3 linked regions of the Cricetulus griseus genome follow. The protein of the gene in region 1 interacts with the protein of each later gene in a pairwise test. Links are inferred from orthologs where the notes say so. Each region holds a gene or a part of one and is shown on either strand. Other genes may lie near its edges.

What was found.
Region 2: the proteins of Ctnna3 (region 1) and Pkp3 interact in a two-hybrid assay, tested with the Homo sapiens proteins (2 studies listed by IntAct). The link is inferred for Cricetulus griseus from reciprocal best matches to the Homo sapiens genes CTNNA3 and PKP3.
Region 3: the proteins of Ctnna3 (region 1) and Jup interact in binary tests that used the Homo sapiens proteins (3 or more experiments, as listed by UniProt). The link is inferred for Cricetulus griseus from reciprocal best matches to the Homo sapiens genes CTNNA3 and JUP.

What each region holds. Positions count from the first base shown.
Region 1 is NW_023276806.1:272,080,157-272,085,795, forward strand, and holds the end of Ctnna3 (catenin alpha-3), read right to left. Parts: intron 3,507-5,639; coding exon 3,219-3,506; 3' UTR 2,161-3,218; downstream 1-2,160. UniProt on the Homo sapiens protein: May be involved in formation of stretch-resistant cell-cell adhesion complexes.
Region 2 is NC_048596.1:60,098,308-60,104,705, reverse strand, and holds part of Pkp3 (plakophilin-3), read left to right. Parts: exon of another isoform or gene 1-85; intron 86-266; coding exon 267-462; intron 463-2,520; coding exon 2,521-2,600; intron 2,601-2,734; coding exon 2,735-3,366; intron 3,367-3,453; coding exon 3,454-3,577; intron 3,578-4,102; coding exon 4,103-4,307; intron 4,308-6,398. UniProt on the Homo sapiens protein: A component of desmosome cell-cell junctions which are required for positive regulation of cellular adhesion. Required for the localization of DSG2, DSP and PKP2 to mature desmosome junctions.
Region 3 is NC_048600.1:113,436,499-113,442,896, forward strand, and holds part of Jup (junction plakoglobin), read right to left. Parts: intron 5,191-6,398; coding exon 4,989-5,190; intron 4,160-4,988; coding exon 4,015-4,159; intron 3,625-4,014; coding exon 3,521-3,624; intron 2,414-3,520; coding exon 2,075-2,413; intron 1,051-2,074; coding exon 895-1,050; intron 678-894; coding exon 558-677; intron 1-557. UniProt on the Homo sapiens protein: Common junctional plaque protein. The membrane-associated plaques are architectural elements in an important strategic position to influence the arrangement and function of both the cytoskeleton and the cells within the tissue.

The sequences.
Region 1 (5,639 bases):
ATAGAATCTGGGAAGCATTATTGTTAAGAGACATGAATGCCCTAATGGGAACTTAATTACATATTCACACTTTTAGTTTTTTCACTTATAATGAATTGAAAAGAGATTAGTCTGCAGTGGAAGGTTACAAGAATAGGCCTCTGTGTTCAGTTGCAGGTTCCTTATACTGTGGGAGGAAGAGACTTCATGAGAAGCAAATGTGTTATACTGATGCTAAAAGACTTCACAATCTCAGATGGCACATGAGAATATAAGACTATAATGTATCTTCTAGCATATTCAGAGGTCAGACTCAAATCATAAGAGAAACAGAAAAGCATGATTGACATCAGCTTGAAATATATTTTCCTGATTTACTCAAAAATTTCTAGAAACTTTAAAAGAAAGAACTATAACTTAACAATTTTATTTAGTAAAGATGGAATGTATATTTATCAACTTTTATATTTGATATCATCATGAGTATTTTCTGAGTTATCCTGAATCTAGACTACTTTGAATTTAACATCACACTTGGTGGCAATATAGGTGGCGAGGAAGAGATGGAGATGTCCTTGGGGATAGTATAAAACTTCTTTTCAAGTACATTTTTCTAAAAAAGTAAGTAAGTGAACTGAAATTAATTTGGTAGAAAGGACAAGTGAGTATTGACTAGCAAAATCAAACAAATGTGATGCTATTTGAAAATGTGTATACTGCGTTATCAAGTTATTACTTCCATTAAAATTTCCCAGCATTCCACTGCAGAAAAAATGTTGCCATATAAATATGTATATAGAATATTTATTGTCCAGACTTATCTAATTGTACTCTATAGTGTAAAATTTGCAAGTACCCCTCTTCCTGTTTTTTCTGTAGATGTTTGCATCACCCATTGCTTGAATCCAACTAATATACTGTCACTGCAGGTGTTTCTCAGGTAGACAGATGTCCTTCTCAGCTTTATCCCTTTGGTTTTTATTACACCTTTAATTGCTAGAGAAAATGTACTCCCTGGGCACTCACCAAGTTAAAAATTTTATTGTTTTGTTTAATTATAGCTGTTTATTTTGAGCTGAGCTGGAACACTGTACCAAAGTGAAGGCCTCGACTGTTTCTCATTTCGAGTAAAATTATCTGGAATTTGCATCATTTAAAATTATTTCTTTTATTATTGCTTTCCTCTAATAGATCATGCTAAATTCCAATATGTAGAAGGATGACATGGGGCCAAAGGAACAGTGGGTTTTGCAAAGAAGGTGTATGAGTCTGGCCTATGTAAGGTCAAGACCTAGTATATAAAGTTAGTATGTGGTATTTTTTGTTTGTGTATTTTTAAGAAATTGGTTGTTCCCAAAATTAAAAATCTGCATGGTACCGAAGAGGAGTCTATTCTAAAATTGCTCTCCACTGAGTACAGAACACTATGGCTGCATTTCAGTAACAGAGGGTATTTGTCCCAATTGTGCCAATATTGTCAAGAAGACCAAATTCCCTTCTCTGCTTCTCATCATGAGAGTAGATTTTGTCCAGAATAATTACTATGCACAAGCCCTTAGGGCAAGATGAGGGAAGAAATGAATGGACTTCACCTAGTTCATACTAAATTTTGTAGAGTTCTCAGGCAACCAAGCCAACACTTTGGTATAATGAAATAATTCAATTACTAAAAGAGTTAATATTCGCCTCAATAACACAATCATCTGCCAGACCTTTCTTTTCTTTTTTGTTCAAGAGAATACACAATGAATTCCCAGTACGTTCAATCCCTTTTGCTTCCTGTACAAGTGGCCCCCCTAACACCAACTTCTGTTACATATAGAAATACTAACTGATGAATTGAAAGTGTCCAAATGCCTCTTCAAGGGCAGTGTTGCAAAAGGGAAGAGCTTCAGTTATGGAAGGGTTCTGACACAGAAAAGGGGAATAAGTGGAGAAAAAGCCCTTTGAGTGTGGCATGGTAAAATTGAAGCCTCACTCCTCCAACACCGTAAATATAAAGCTCAGTGTGAAGAAAGAGAGGAGGAAATGATGGAAAAACAAAGGGCTATCATTGCCATAGAGCATACTCTCAGACTACTACAGAGTCCATCATAAACTCAGCTGTAGATAACCACAGTCATTGGACATAGAAAACAACCCCAGTGACATTCGTTTAGAGGTGGTTATTAAAAATCACTCCAAACTCATTGTCATTAATTCAGCTTCATTGTTGGGTGGTAGATTTCACTCCGTGCCAAAGGCTTTGCAAATCAGTCTTTCATTTTAGTTACCATTGCAATGGATACAAAGAGATTTTTATAATCACGCAAAATTCCTTTTGTTTCCTCTATCTCAGACTTGCTCTGAACTATAAGTCAGTGTGTCTCATTTCTCTGAAGGGCTGGATGTGGAACTCAGGAGTAGACCACATTCCTAGCGTATGTAATGTTGTTTGAATCACAGTACCACACAAACCAATCAAGAAACAAAAATTCATTTCTCCAATGGGTGATGACTCTAGACATGTGTGTTCTGACAGGCCCAATGCTAAGAGTACAGAACTTCTAAATAGTAGGAAAAAAAAAGGTGCAAACAGCATCCACAGTCTCTGCAGCCTCAGAGTGTCATCAAAGCACTTCTTTAATAACATGACTGACTTTCAAATTCTGGTAAGAAGTTTGACTCCCCACATTTGGTTATAGTCAACTCACCAACTAATAGTAGGTAGCAATATCTAGAAATTGAACATTCTTTCCTATGGCAAGAAGGACACATGTCTGGCAGATTAGATGCCAGGTTAGGTCTGCTAAGGAAGGTACAGACACTGGGAAAATAGTTGCTAAACCCTCTTGTGTCCACTGAAAAGCAAGTGAAAAGCTTCTGAGTGTGTCATCCTTCACAAGGATACATAGTGCATAGGCTTAAACATTTCCAAGGAAGCAGAACTCACTTTGTCTTTTGCATTCATTTTGTAATGGACATAAGCTATTCCCTGTGAAGGGCCAGGCCAAAATGACACCTGTGAAGTTTATTCCCTAGGTACTACCTGCAAGTTAACTGGGTTGTGCTGGCGATAGAGAGATGACAATGACAGGACCCCAAATACACATTGTGCACAGTGGTTTAACCCCAACGTTTTATGTTATTTGAGAACTTAACTCCGAAACTTAGCGAAATTAAAGAGCCAGTGAGCTGTGAAATAAATGCAATGTGCTTGGCCCGAGGTATGTCAATGGGCACTGGAGTGGACTAGGGCCTCAGTAGACTTGTCTCCCTCTAAATTCACTCATGACTTGGACAGGGTGGATCTTTTTCTTTGCTGAGCCTCTTCTGACAGCCGCATATGTTTCTTCTGGCTTCTCTCTCTTAATCAAGGGCTTTTTTGCAGGAGCCTTCATCCTCCACATGACAACAGGGTGCCGGGGGCCGGCAGAACTCTGGATGCGGATGATCTTGGTGGAAGCAATGTACGACATTTTCACTGTTTGCACTACAGCATTCATTAAATTTTTGGCTGCTTGGATCAGGGAGGTGACACTGTCCAACTGTAGGAAAGAATGAAGAGAAAAGCTACTATTTAAAATGCAGTCAGGAATGTGCTGAGGATGTAGAAGATGACAGTGACACTGTACTTTGACCAAGAAATGAACGAGCTAATTCTTATTTTACATATCAATACATAATCATCTACATCATTCCATCGTATTCTTTTTAAAGGTTGATCTGATGCATAAATACATCCATGTTTTGTTTTTAATTTGGTATTGTAGAAGGATAAGTTTCTTTCTCATTGTTTGCAAGAAAGCTACATATACACACACATACACATACACATACACACAATGCAGATATACATATACATCATCTTTTTCTTGAGAATTTCTTAAATAATCACACTTAAATGGGTCTCTGTTTTAAGAAGTAAATGTTAATGCATCATAGAGACTGCTAATATAGAAAGAATGGAGAGTTCAAATAAAATTGAATTGGAGGTTCAGATTCCCCTTTGACAACCTTGAGAAGGTTTAATTATTTCCATCAAATCATTTAATGCAGAAAAATATTTATTAAAGAAAAAGTAATACATATAAGAAACCAGTACATTAGCTGCCAAAAAATTGTTGTAATTAAGTACCATTACCTTTGCAACCTATAAAGACTGCTAAATTGCTAAATGACACAGATGTGCTCATAAAATGGCTAAAAATACCTTTTCCACAGATGAATCTGTTTGTTAAATGTCCAGGATGCTATTCATGTAAACAATCTCAAGGAAAAAAAAAATAGAGTGGCATTCCTAGAGTTTTTCAAAATACCTTAGAGCTAAGCCAAGTCGATTCATTTTTATACAACCGATGCTTTTTCAATTATTTTAGCTTGGCAGATTGTCATCTGCAGCCAACTCACATGGGGAGATGAGCCTCCACTGTCACCCCTCTGTGATAGGAGCTGTCAGGGCTGGGGCTCAAACGCTGACTCTGTGTAGTTCCTGAAATCTGTCAGCAGCTGCTGGCCTGCGTGTTCTACCTCCTCTGCTCTACCAGCTTCAGCTCTCATACAGAATAAGTGAGGCAGAGTGGGGAGCTCGGGTTATGTGCCCGGGGCTGTGGTCTAGCTGGCTGCTTTCCTCACAAGAAAATTTAATTAGTTCCATAATTGCCAAGCCCAAGATCCTTGGAATGGTAACACCAAAAATACATGATTTTTTAAGGACAGCAAGATTTGGCAGCTACACATACACACACACATATATTTTGCACGTATATATTTTTACATATATATTTTACTTATTAAAGCCAGGACAGTGAAACCTGTGTACTGGGCAAAAATGACAAACACTAAACAGTATTTTTAAGTACTCAAAAGGTTTTTAGGGGAGGACTGTGTGTGTGTGTGTGTGTGTGTGTGTGTGTGTGTGTGTGTGTGTGTGTGTGTGAAGTTTGTGTGCGTGTGTGCCCATGCATGCATGTGTAGACACTGGTTGCCATCATCTTCCTCTATCATTCCCTACCTTATGCTCTGAGGCAGGGTTTCTCATTGAACCTGAAACTAACTGCTTGGCTAATGTGACTGGCCCATGAGCACCTCTGATCTTGGAGGACATTAGGCAGCTTCTGCATCTGCACAAAGCCTTGCAAAACTATTAATTTTTAAATAGAATGGCAGTAGTCATTTTAAAACTACCAATAGATTACAAAATCAAATCCTCTATTTTATAATTGTTTTCATTAAAAGCCTAGTGGCAGGGTTACTTTAAAAAAAATGTTGGACAGTGAGATACTTATCCACCTCCCAAACATCACAAGCTTTTACCAATGCATTTGGTTACCTTCCAGAACTTGGTGATAAGACTCATTTGCTGAAGGCATGATATACTGGGTCAAAGACCAGGAAACATCAAGCTGGTACTAACCTGGAAGCTTCATCCCACATGGTTAGCTTTCACAATGCTAGGAAGTGCAATGAACAGTACCAGAGGTTAAAAAAGTGTAATCAGTAATCTCACCTAGCCATGAACCTAGTGAGCAATGAGAATGACTGCCTGGGAAGATGTGCCCACTGGTGCAACAGTGGCACAAATTTTGTGAAATCCAATCAGAAAGACTTAAGGTTCACTCCATATGAAACCCATACCTGTCATCATTATCAAACTAAGAAACTAAGGCTAAATGAACACA
Region 2 (6,398 bases), on another chromosome or scaffold:
CATGACTTGAGGACGCGCTGGGCCTGTTCTTCCGCCCAAATTCCACCTTAAGCAGGCAGAGGCCCCTCCCTCCCACCTGGCCCAGGTATCCCCGCCCCCAGCCAAGCTCTGGGCTGGGCGGGCGTCTGTCTAAGAAGGCCAGCCAGGAAGAGACTTCTGGAACTGAGCCTTGAGGGACAAGACTGGGAAGAGGCCCAGGACAGGTGGGGTGGATAGTCGCCCCTGTCACTATGCAGGAGGGTAACTTCCTGCTGTCTGCCCTGCAGCCTGAGACTGGTGTTTGCTCCCTGGCACTGCCCTCGGACCTGCAGCTGGATCGCCGGGGTGCTGAGGGGCCGGAGGCTGATAGGCTTCGAGCTGCCAGAGTCCAGGAGCAAGTCCGAGCCCGCCTCCTGCAGTTAGGCCAGCAGTCGCGGCACAATGGGTCTACCGAGCTTGATGGCGCCACCGAGATCACCAGAGGTACGCCAGCTTGGGCATGGTGGGCAACAAAGGGTAATGTAGGTGGTAGTGGTGACAGTGGCAGGTAGAGGTGGCTAGGGCAGTAGTGTTGGTGTCAGGGGCAGAGGCCGTACGAGCTCGGGGTTCAGGCCTTGACTCACCTCACTGAGGCCTGCTCTGAGTCACCGCCCCGCCCCAGTAGGCATGGGGAACAGCCTGGGTGGGGCATACCTCCTCCCCAGCCAAGACAGGGGTCTAAGGCTGGGTGCCCCACTCTCTAAGTTGGGAAAACCCGGGAGGCTCAAGGAGAACAACCAGGCCCACCTATTGGCAACCCCCAATACATTCCCTCATCACCACAGGCTCGCTTGAGGTCCCAGACAGAGAGGCCAGAGTGCCTTCTAACCAGATGGGAGTGAGTTTAACAGTTGTATGAGAGAGCGATGATCCTAGATAGAGCCCAGGTCTGTCTGGAGCAGGGGCTCCCTGAGGAATTACAGAACTGGGCCTACCAGGAGTGACCCAGATACTCTTCATGAGAATAGCCTGCAGGGTACTCTTCAGGGGCGTCTCTCTCTCTCTCTCTCTCTCTCTCTCTCTCTCTCTCTCTCTCTCTCTCTCTGTGTGTGTGTGTGTGTGTGTGTGTGTGTGTGTGTGTTAGAGGGGTCACTCAGATGTGCTGGGTTCAAGGTAGTCATTCCATAAACATCATTTCCCTACCTGCCAGGCTACAACAACAGGCATTAAATTCAGACAGTACAATAGACCTCTGTTCAGAGGTCTAGACCCCAGTTCACAGTGGTCCACCTCTGGCCTCTAGCTACTAGCCAGAGGGAGAGGGCTGTCTGGCAGAAGGGCTGGTCAGGAATTGGATTGCTGCCTGAAATCTTCCTGAGCATAAGCCTTACTGGAGCCAAGTTGATGCCCAGGGGTCATGGGGTGGGGGAGGACAGAGGGAGGGGTTAATTACCACCTGGATACCCTGCCAATTAGGGGGAGGAGGATAGTAATTTGGGGGTGGGCGTAAGGTCCCCAGGCTGGGGTGTGCCCCCTAGGCTGGCCCTCACTAGCGTCAAAGGGTTAACAGCCCCTGCCCAGAAGCCTCATTAACCTGGGTGGATCTGGGGAACACCAGACTGTCCACCCCCTGGGCAGGGTTGGGAGGAGTGAAGGCCCCTTCCCCATACCCATACTGACCTCTGTAGTAGTAGTAGCCCTTGCTCAGGGAGCCCTTCCTAAAACCCTTGGCAGAGGCTGAGTCCACCCGAGCCCTGCCCACTATATTACCATCCACTCTTGGGATGATGTTTCCTGGGTGGTCTCACCTCTGCACCCACTATCTCTCTGTTCATCTGGCTGCGAGTTTTTCTGTACACCTATGTGACCCTCTCACCTCCCTCTTTCCCACCAATCCCTTCATCTACATATCATTCCAAGCTTCTGACCAGTCCTCCCCACCCACTCACCCACCTTTCTGTCCACTGACCACGGAGCTGGGCTGACTCCCTGTCCGCAGCTAATATGCAGCTGGATGGGTAGGTGTGGTCCCTGCCTCAGGCTCTACCAGGTGGCTCTCCCACTGTCCATTAGAGCAGATGGATCCAGAGAGACTACATCCTTGGCCTACACAATGTCACTACCCTGTGACTGTAGTACAGATGGAGTCTGGGCACAAGAGGATTTCAAAGGAGGTCATTGTGGGTTGGGGCAGGCTGGGCTGGCTTTCTGGGGGGAGCCAGATGCTGTACTCTGGCGGGGACTGGACAGCTTATGGAGAACCTTGGCGAATTCTCCAGGCAGGCCAGAGGTCAGTAAGATGAGTAGTCTGGATTCCTTGGAGCAGAGAAGGAACTTTGGAGTTCTAGGGAAAGGGGGCCTACCAGAACAGATTGAATGAAACCAAGCCGCAGCCACAGTAGAACCATGGGCAAGGCATTAGCCCCAAAGCCCACTTGGCCTCCCTGCTCTGGGTCTGATGTGACTCTCAGGGTTACGATCAGAGACCTCTGGCAGAAGGGAGAAGAAAAGCCAACACTTTGCTATTTGTCATGGTCAGGCTGTCACTATCCCTGTCCACAGGCATGCCGAGGGGTCAATACCACACTATGCAGGCTGGCTTCAGCTCCCGATCCCAGGGCCTGAGTGGAGACAAGACCTCGGTGAGTCAGGGATTTAGCTCTGCAGTCCACACTGAGTGGGAGGCTCCACAGGGGAAGCTGGGAGCTCTGTATCAGAAGGGGAGGACACCGGGTAAACCCCAGATACCCCTTCACTGTGCCCTCCCCTCCCATAGACCATCCGGCCCATCGCCAAGCCGGCCTACAGCCCAGCCTCCTGGTCCTCCCGCTCAGCCGTGGACCTGAGCTGCAGTCGGAGGTTGAGCTCTGCCCACAATGGGGGCAGTGCCTTTGGGGCTGTGGGATATGGGAGTGCCCAGCCCACTCCACCCATGCCCACCCGCCCAGTGTCCTTCCACGAGCGAGGTGGAGGAGCCAGCAGAGCCGATTATGACACGTTGTCCCTGCGCTCGCTGAGGCTGGGGCCTGGGGGCCTGGACGATCGCTACAGTGTGGTATCTGAGCAACTGGAGCCTGCAGCTGCCTCCACCTACAGGGCCTATGCTTATGAGCGCCAGGCCAGCTCTGGCTCTAGCAGGGCAGGAGGCCTGGACTGGCCAGAGGCAACCGAGGGCCAACCCAGCCGGACCATCCGTGCACCCGCCATGCGAACCCTGCAGAGATTTCAGAGCAGCCACCGAAGCCGTGGAGTCACTGGGTCAGTGTCAGGTACCGGCCTGGAACCCGTGGCCCGAGCCCCATCTGTGCGCAGTCTCAGTCTCAGCCTGGCTGACTCAGGTCACCTGCCAGATGTACGTGGATTGGACAGCTACACAGGCCATCGCACCCTGCAGAGGCTCAGCAGTGGGTAAGGAGCTGGGCTTGAAGCAGGGAGGGGACAGCCTGGCCCAATCCTAAGGTCTACCTGAACACTGACTAAGTCCTGGTTCTGCAGCTTTGATGACATTGACCTGCCCTCAGCAGTCAAGTACCTCATGGCCTCAGACCCCAACCTGCAGGTGCTAGGAGCGGCTTATATCCAGCACAGGTGCTACAGTGATGCAGCAGCCAAGAAGCAGGTGACATATTCCACTGACTGTCCCCTGTTATCTCTCGGTGACTGTCCCACCGTCCCCAGATGCCCTTAATGACTGTCTTCACCAGCCCCCACCCCTTCTGACCTCTGCTCCTTGGCCCTCCCTGCTGATCACTAGGCTGGCTGAGCAAACCTCACCACTCCATATCCTCAACGGAGAACGGGCAGAGATGCCCTGTTTGTACATACCTGCATCACCTATATACACCTACACACATATACATGGCGCCTGTGGCACATATATGCATCCGAGACATATACTTGGATTACCTCCATATACCCGAATATGCATGCGCAGTCCTGCATACACCTGTAGCATCCAGAGTCACCATTTCCAGGCACCTGCACCCCCCCCAATACATTTGCATACGTTATGTACAGACTTGCATATCACCTGCACCATCTGGGTCACCTACGGACATATGCACTTATTTCCATGCATGTGGACATTTCTGCCTGCATTTTCAGTCTGCATATGTCCACATACACCTGTATATATGTGCCACAGGCTCGCAGCCTTCAGGCGGTGCCTAGACTGGTGAAGCTCTTTAACCACGCCAACCAAGAGGTGCAGCGCCATGCCACAGGTGCCATGCGCAACCTTATTTACGACAATGCAGACAACAAGCTGGCTCTGGTAGAAGAGAATGGCATTTTCGAACTGTTGCGGACACTTCGAGAGCAGGATGATGAGCTACGCAAAAACGTTACAGGTACCCTTGTCCCTCCAGCTTCATCATCAGTCCCCTCCTCTGCGCTCTCCTGTCTTGTCCCTGCTCTTCTCTTCCTCTACTCCCCTCTTTCCCTTCCTTGTTCTCAACAATCTGTCTTCATCTTATGCCTTCCCTGTCCCATATTGAATTTTTTGGGGGGTTGGGTTTTTTTGTTGTTTATCTTATTTATTACTATTTTGTGTACACCCATGCATGCCCCAGGCATCCGTGTGAAGGTCAGAGGACAACTCCTTCAACCATGGGATCTGGGGAGTCAAACTCAAGTAATTGGGCTTGTGCAGAAAGCACCTTTACCTGCTGAGCCTTTTTGCCAGCCCATTTTTTAATTTATTTTTACTGAGACAGGAACTCACTATGTAGCCTTGGCTGTCTTGAAACTCATTATGTAGACCAGGCTAGTCCCAAATTCATAGAGATCTGCCTGCCTCCTGAGTGCTAGGTTTAAAGATAGGTGACATCATCATGCCTGGCCTATTTCCTTATTTTTTAATGATTTGTTTATTTTTATTATGTATATGAAGTTTTTGCCTCCATGTGTCTTCGTTTACCCTATATATGCCTGGTACCCGCACGTGTCAGGAGAGAGCATTGGATTCCCTGAAACTAGAGTCACAGTCATTAAAAACCATATAGGTAATTGGAACCAAATCTGTGTCTTCAACAAGAGCAGCAAACACTTTTATCCATTGAGCCATTTCTCCAGCCCCTGAATTGTGTGCGTGTTGGTATATATATTCAATTTATTTACTTCATTTTATGTATATGAATCTTTTGCTTGCATGAATGTCTGTATACCACATGCATGCCCAGTGCCCATGGAGGTGAGAAGAGGGCTTCAGCTCTCCTGGAACTAAAGTTACAGATGATTGTGAGACACCATGTAGTTGCTGGGAGATGAATCCAGATCCTCTGGAAGATCAGCCTGTGCTCTTAACCACTGAGCCATGTCCCCAGCCCACCCCACCCCATTTGTATTGTTCCACTCTGCACACCAAACTGGCTTCTGTCTCACTATGTATTAGACGCTGGCCATAAGCTCATGGCAATCCTTCTACCTAGGCCTTCTACCTACAAACACCTTACTGTGAAGGCTCATGCCTGTCATGAGCCATCACAATAAACTAAACTTGTTGTTGTTGGTGCTTGACGTTATTGTTGTGTATATTGTCTGTTTATGAGACAGGGTCTCACTTTGTAGTTCTGACTGACCTGGAACTCATTATGTAGATCAGGTTTGCCTCAGATCCACAGAAATCTGCTTGCCTGTGTTTCCCAAATGCTGGGATTAAAGGCATGTACCACAATGCCTGGCTATTGTTTATGAGAGACGGTCTCTCCATGTAGCCCAGGATGGACTCAAACTCACAGCCATTCTTCTATTTTAGCTTCCTAAGTTCTGGGATTGCAAGTATCACACATACAAAACTTTTTTTTTTTTTTTTTGGCTTTTACCCTTATTTTCTGTGGTGCTGTGTGTGGCACTCAGGGCTTCATGCATACAAGCAGGGCCTACAAGTGCTCTACAACAGAGCATTATCTTCTAGCCAAGGCTCTCTCTCCCCAGTCATTTCCACTCCCAGGCCTTCAAATCCCCCTACACTTTGTTTGTTCCTCTTGCTCTGTTCCTGTCCATGCTTCCAAAGGTCATACTGAGGACCTCTCCAGGGCAGCTCTAGAGTAAGGCCAAGAAAATGTGAGGGCAAGAGCTGAAAAAATGGCTCAGTAAATAAAGAATGTTTGCTGCTCTTCAAAGGGACCCATCTTCTGTTCTCAACACCTACAGGCAGCTCATAACTGCACGTAACTTCAGCTCCAGGTGATCTGGCACCCTCTTCTGGACTCCACGGGTACCTTACTCATTTGCTTATAATATACCCATGCATGGACACACACATACTTTACAAAATAAGTAAATCTTTAAACCGGGTCTTGGTGGCATACGCCTTTAATCCCAGGACTGGGGAGGCAGAGGCAAGCAAATCTCTATGAGTTTGAGGCCAGCCTGGTCTACAGAGTGAGTGCCAGGATAGGCTCCAAAGCTACACAGAGAAACCATATCTCAGGGGGGAA
Region 3 (6,398 bases), on another chromosome or scaffold:
TAAACCTCTGCCATTTAAGTTATGTTCAATGATTTCCTCAAGAGGGAGTCAGATTTGAATTCCAGGTCAAAGGACAGGAATCTTTCCAAGACTCCCTTCACACTGCAACAGCAGTTCCCAGGCTGCCCATCCCCCCAAGCAGGGCACAAGATGCTCAGTTCACCCGACCCTCAAGTATCTTCTTTGCTGGCCAATCTGACAGTGGAAAATGGACTCTCACTGGGGGCTAAATTTCATTTCTGTAAACTCCTGGGCTGAACCCTGTTTGCTTATGAGCCACCTGGGAGCCACTTGTTGACTCTGCCCACACAGCACTGCTGGGACCCGGCGTTAATGAGCTGCTGTCTGCTGAGACAATGGCTCCCACAGTCCAGGTTTGTGCTTTTCGGGTTGTTTTGAACACACGGATGCTCTTAATGCTCGAGTGACTGCATCTCACCTCCCCTGCTTCTGAGCTTCATCCGCTCTTAAACAGTCCTAGACAAGCCCGGTCCACACATCCCCAAACCCCCAGCAGCTTCTGGGGACGTATCTTTGTCCATCTGTACCAGACTCACCTGGACAAACAGGGGAATGGTGTTGAGCCGGAAGATCTCCATACGGTTCATGGGATCCCGGGCGAGGATGTGGAGGGCTCCAGTGCAGCCCTCTACGATCTCTTCCATCCTCACGCCATCCTGCATGAAAAGGGCCGTGAAACACGAGGATGGGGACAAGGGGGCCCTGGACAAAGCCGCAACCTCCCCGACCAGGACCCTAACACTGCTCACTAGTCCCTGGAGTTGGCGTTGATGTCAACACACACACTTCTTCTTATATACACACAAACTCTGAGGACACCCCCGCCCCAGCCCCTCCAAGAAGGCTATCTCAGTCGCCACTAGGCTCATCTACCGTGTAGGGCTGCTGGGTGCCTGCGGCCACATGTCGCTGGGCATCCTGGTGGGCCTTGACCAACAGCTGAACGAGGCGGGGAATGACTGCGGCCTCCTGCAGCGGGGCATGGTTGGCTGGGCACAGGGCCAGATTCCGGATCAGACCGATGGTTGCCTGGCAGGGAAGGAGGCAGTGAGCAAAGGTATTCCAACTCCTCAGCTTCAGGTATTTTGTCAATACTATCTCTTCTGAAAACCCAGTCCCAGCGCAGTGACAACAGGATAAGGAGAGTCCTAGCTACTCATGTAGCTGGAACTTTGAGAAGCTCTGCTTGGGGGAGGGAGCTGGGGCGGCTGTAGGCAGAGGACAGAAAGAACCTAGACCTAAGGTCGGGGCTTTCGCTCAGGACGCACGAGCCCTGGGTTTGAGTCCCAGGACTACACAGACCAGATGTGGTGGCACATGGCTCTCATTCCAGCACTTGAGTGAGGCTGAGGCAGGAGGACCAAGGCGACCCTCAGCTACAATTTAAGGCCAGCCTGGGATACTTGAGACTCTAATCTTTAAACTAATTGCATCTAGCTCACTGAAGGGAAGTGGGGCATGCCTATGGTATTCTCAGCAGTCAGGAGCCTGAGCAGGAGAATCGCAAGTCTAAGGCCAGCCTAGGCTACATCCCACAGACCTTGTCTCAAAAACCAGCCAGAGCCAAGCCTGATGGATGGCCTTTAACCCCAGCACTTGGGAGGCAGAGGCAGGAGAATTGAGTTTGAGGCCAGCCTGGCCTACAGAGTGAGTTCCAGGACAGCCAGGGCTACATAGAGAGATGGTGTCTCAAAATAAATAAAATTAGTAACTCTAATAAATATTTTTACTTTAAAAAATGTGTTAATACATGTGTGTGACCTACAGGGTGTTGTTCCCTTGTTTTTTACAGATGGTTGTGAATCACCCTGTGGCTGCTGGGAATTGAACTCAGGACCTCTGGAAGAGTAACCACTGAGCCATCTCTCCAGTCTTCTAATACAAAATTTTAAAAATTAAGAATAAAACAAATAGAGCAACAACCAGGTAAGCAAAAGAACTCTAGGTCTCTGGAGCAGACATTGTGAAAGTAGAAAGTGCTGGGAGTGGTATTTCCTTCCTGTTCTCTGAGCCAGTGCGCTAGGTCTCCTGTGTCCTGGCCCTTAGTGGGTACCTTGACCAGTGGCCACTGGTTGGGCTGGTTGAGCAGCTTCACAATGGCCGGGATGCCATAGTTGAGGCGCACAGAGTTCTGGGCCATCTCAGCCTCCGGGTGGCGGCTGGTAAGGTGACGCAGGGCACAGACAGCAGGCTCTGTGATGTCATCCTTGTCACCGGCTCTCAGGATGGCGTGGATGAGTGCCTCGACGCCACTGTTCTGTGTCACCAGCGTCTTGTTTTTGCTGTTGTTGCAGGTCAGGTTGGAGAGGGTGCCTGTGGCACAGGTGAGGACGTTGACATCGTCCACACTCAGCTGGTTGACCAGGATCTTCAGCACGCTCTCCAGGCCCTCCTGAGACAGGAAGAGCATGAAGCGTAAGGAACACGTCATCTCTACACAGCCTCCCCAGTAGGTCTGAGGGCAGCGGATAGGCTGAAGGGCTTGGTCTTGCTTTTATGTGGCCAGGAACCTTCACCCCATGGCCTTCCACGCCCTGGGGAAAGCTGTTAGCCTCTCCTGGAGATCTTCCCACAGACCCACAGCTGCAGGCCTGCCTCCAAGCCCATGGTCCTTCCTCTATCCCATGTGCTCCATCCCTGCTGGCCATAGGAGGCCTCTGGTCAAGAGGAAGCTAGCAAGGAGGTCATAGGCTTCAGTGGTCAGCTGGTCCCCTGTCGCATACTTCTCACCTGGCTGGGTCTTCTCTGTCACACCAGGGATCCCTAAGCTAAATCTGCTTCTGAGAAAAATCCCCAACTCAGAAACCTCTCTTCTCCCAGGGAGGGCTGTGTGGGTCTAGTGGTGGATCCAAAAGACTATCGGTCTCAGAGATACACACAGTCATGGGTCAGGACGCAAGCTCTGCCATCTAATAGCTCTCAACATGGGCTTTCTCTTAACTCCCTGAGCCTTAGTTTCTCCCACAACCAATGGGGTTGCAGGATCCCCTTCTAGGGAGCTAAGAGGGTTAAAGTCAGTTCAGCTCCTGCCTACAGAAGCCATGCAGAATGAAGGGTGCTTGCTAGGTGGTGGTGATGGGTAAACACATGGATACAGTCTGCTTGGAAGGTGGTGCCAGCAACTTGCCCTGAATCAGCAGTGCTCTGAGGTTAGTGTTTTGTGTGTGTTAGTATTTTGTGAGGTTAGTGTTTTGACTGCCTGTATATCTGTGCACCATGTGTGTATGCCTAGCGCTCTCAAAAGCTATAAGAGGACATCAGATGCCCTGGAACTAGAGATACAGACAAATGCTCTTAACCACTGAGCCCCTGTACTTGAGTTTTATGGAACAGTACTGCTCCTGTCCCAGGGTCAAGGCTCAAATTGTCCCATCACCATCACCTGAACCCCAACTTAAAGATGTCAGCCTCCTTCCTCTTCTCATAGGTCCCCGAGGTCATATGCCCAGGTGGTAGGCTGACAATATGGTTTCAGAGAATGGCCCGGGCCCAGACTTACCTGCTTGGTAGCCACATCTGAGAGGTTGCGTAGAGTCCACAGGCAGTTCTGCACCAGGCGCGGGCTGTTGCTTGTGAGATGCTTGCCCAGAGCCTGCATCCCACCTGGGGATGGGACAGAGGTCCTGTCAGCCTTAGGGGGGCCAGATTGCTGCCAGGGCAGGGGCCCTACCCCAATCCTCCTGACCCCACAGGTCACTCCTCTATAATTTTACTTTTAAAGGGTTATTATTATTATTATTATTATTATTATTATTATTATTCGTGTGTGTGTCTGTGTGTCTGTGTGTCTGTGTGTCTGTGTAATGTGATGTGCAATGCCCATGGAGGCCAGAAGAGGGCATCAGATCCCTTGAATTTGAGCTACAGGTAGTTGTGAGTCACCGAATGTGGTTACTGGGAACCAAACTGAGGTCCTCTGGAAAAGTAGCAAGAGCTCTTAAGCTATGGTCACCTCTCTAGTCCCCAACAGGCCACCTTGAGGTTCTCACTCACCAGCCTCCACAATGGCGGGCTTATTGCTGGGACACACAGAGAGCACCTTGAGCACACGGCTGGTGGTCCAGAGCAGTTTCTCATAGCTGTAGTTCCTCATGATCTGCACAAGCCCCTGAGGTCCCCCATTGGCCAGGATGATCAGCTGTGGGGAGGGAAAGGCAGAGTGTAGGATAACAGGCTCACACACCTATGTGTTCACGTGTGTGAGGGGGTGATGGAGCTCTCATTATTAACCTTTTAAGACTTTGGTGACTATCAAATAAGCCAATATCTTGGGGAAAAAAACTATTAATACCAAATGCTGGCAAGGATCTAGCAAAGGGAGTCTAGCACAGCATTGTCACTAAAGGCAGTGTAATGGGTAACACGATGTAACCCTTTTGGAAAGAGAACAAACACACTGAGTAAAAGTCTAGAAGTGTTTAGAAACAAATAAATAAAAAGAAAAAGGCCTTTAGCCCTGCTGGCTCTGGTGTTCCACACCTCTAATCCAGCAGTTAGAAGACTACAAGGAGAGTTAGGGTTCCAGGTCACCCTGGGATAGATAGTGAGACCCTGTGTAAAACACACAGAGAGGGCTGGAGAGATGGCTCAGCTGTTAGCAGCACTCGCTGCTTTTCCAGAGAGTCTAGGTTTGATTCCCAGCATTCGCATGGCGACTTAAAACGATCTGTAATGCCAGCTCTAGGAATGCAGCACCCTCTTCTGGCCGCCATGGGTACTGCAAGCCATCTCTCCACCCCAATCCCCCAGCCTTTTTCAATTCTAGGGATTGAATCATTCAGCATGCTAGGCAGTATTCTATCACTGAGTTATATCCCTAGCCCTAATTTTTTCTCAAACCTTAAAATATTAGTTCTGAGGAATTCAGAAACAGGATATGAGACACATTCATCTATATACACATTAGTATGCCTTCCGGGAAGTGGCCTGAAGCCACTGGATACTGTAGCCATGGTGAAGGGACCCACCTTGCTCTCCTGGTTGCCATAGGCCAGGAGCTGCAGGCAGTCAGTGGTGATGGCCAGGAATTTAGGGTTGTTCTTGTTGAGTAGGGGTACCATCTTCTGCAGCCCATCTGCCAGGCGCACCGCCATCTTGGCGCCCTCCTGGTACAGCAGCAGGTTGTGCAGCGTGGTAATGGCATAGAACAGGACAGACTCTACAGGAGAACTGAGGAGTAGGCAGAATCCATGTTGAGTCAGCTCCCCAGACCCCAGTCAGAAAGCTCACCCCCAATCATCACCCCTATGCAAATATCCCTTTACTAAAGTGTCATTCTTTTTTTTTTTTTGTTCTTTGTACATATATTTAGTACAGATTATTAGGGATTTAAGGAATATGTACAATTTTACACCATGGACTGCATTTTCTTAATGCATTACAGAAACAAAAATAAAATGTCACCAATGACACAGAATACTATACTGTAGATACACCACAACAGTCCAGATTTAAGAAGAAACATCAATATAATTATGAAAAGGCTAGCTTACTTAAACTAGTCAAACTTGACTTTGTTAAATTTATGTTATATAGACAGGTAAATTTTGATGACATATTTTAAACAAAGAATCTTGGAAAACATCTTCACACCAATGAGTGAAATGGTATATTTTGCCCTCCCCAAGAAAACAAAGTCTTGTGCAAGCTAATGAAGATACACATACACCTACACACACACACACACCCCAACACACCACACACACACAGACACAGACACACACACAGACACACAGTATGAACAGTATGTTTTCAACAGTATAATAAACAGTTAAAATTTTTATGGGAGTTAAAACAATGCCCCGTTATTTAAAAACTGGCTCATTTAGTCTAAATTCAAGATGCAGCTTTGTCAGGTTTCTCTGAACCAGATGATCGAAAAGCAGGGAAGACAGAGGCAGGATTTTGACTAGCAGATACAACAACTTGAGGAAGAGATGGAGACAATGAGGATACCTTAGATGCTGGAGTATTTATGGTATTTAAAATGGCTCCTTCTGGGATAACCAGTAACTTTTTTGACAGAGGTATCTAAATGAAATACCCTAAAGTGTCATTCTTTCTTGAGCACAGCCCCTCTTTTTAATTTGTGTGTGTGTGTGTGTGTGTGTGTGTGTGTGTGTGTGTGTGTGTGTGTGTAGGTCAGAAGACAACCTCAGGTGTCATCCTCAGGAACACAATCCCCCTCCTCAGATACAGGGTCTCTAACTGGCCCAAGCTCCTTAGGCTAAACTGGCTGGCCAGCAAGCTCCAGGGCTTCCTCCAGTCTCTGCTTCCCCAGGGCAGGGGCTGCAAATGCCCTCTACTGCATCCAGCATTTTTACATGGGTGCTGGAGATTGAACCTGGGTCCTCATGCTTGAGAGGTAAACTCCTCAT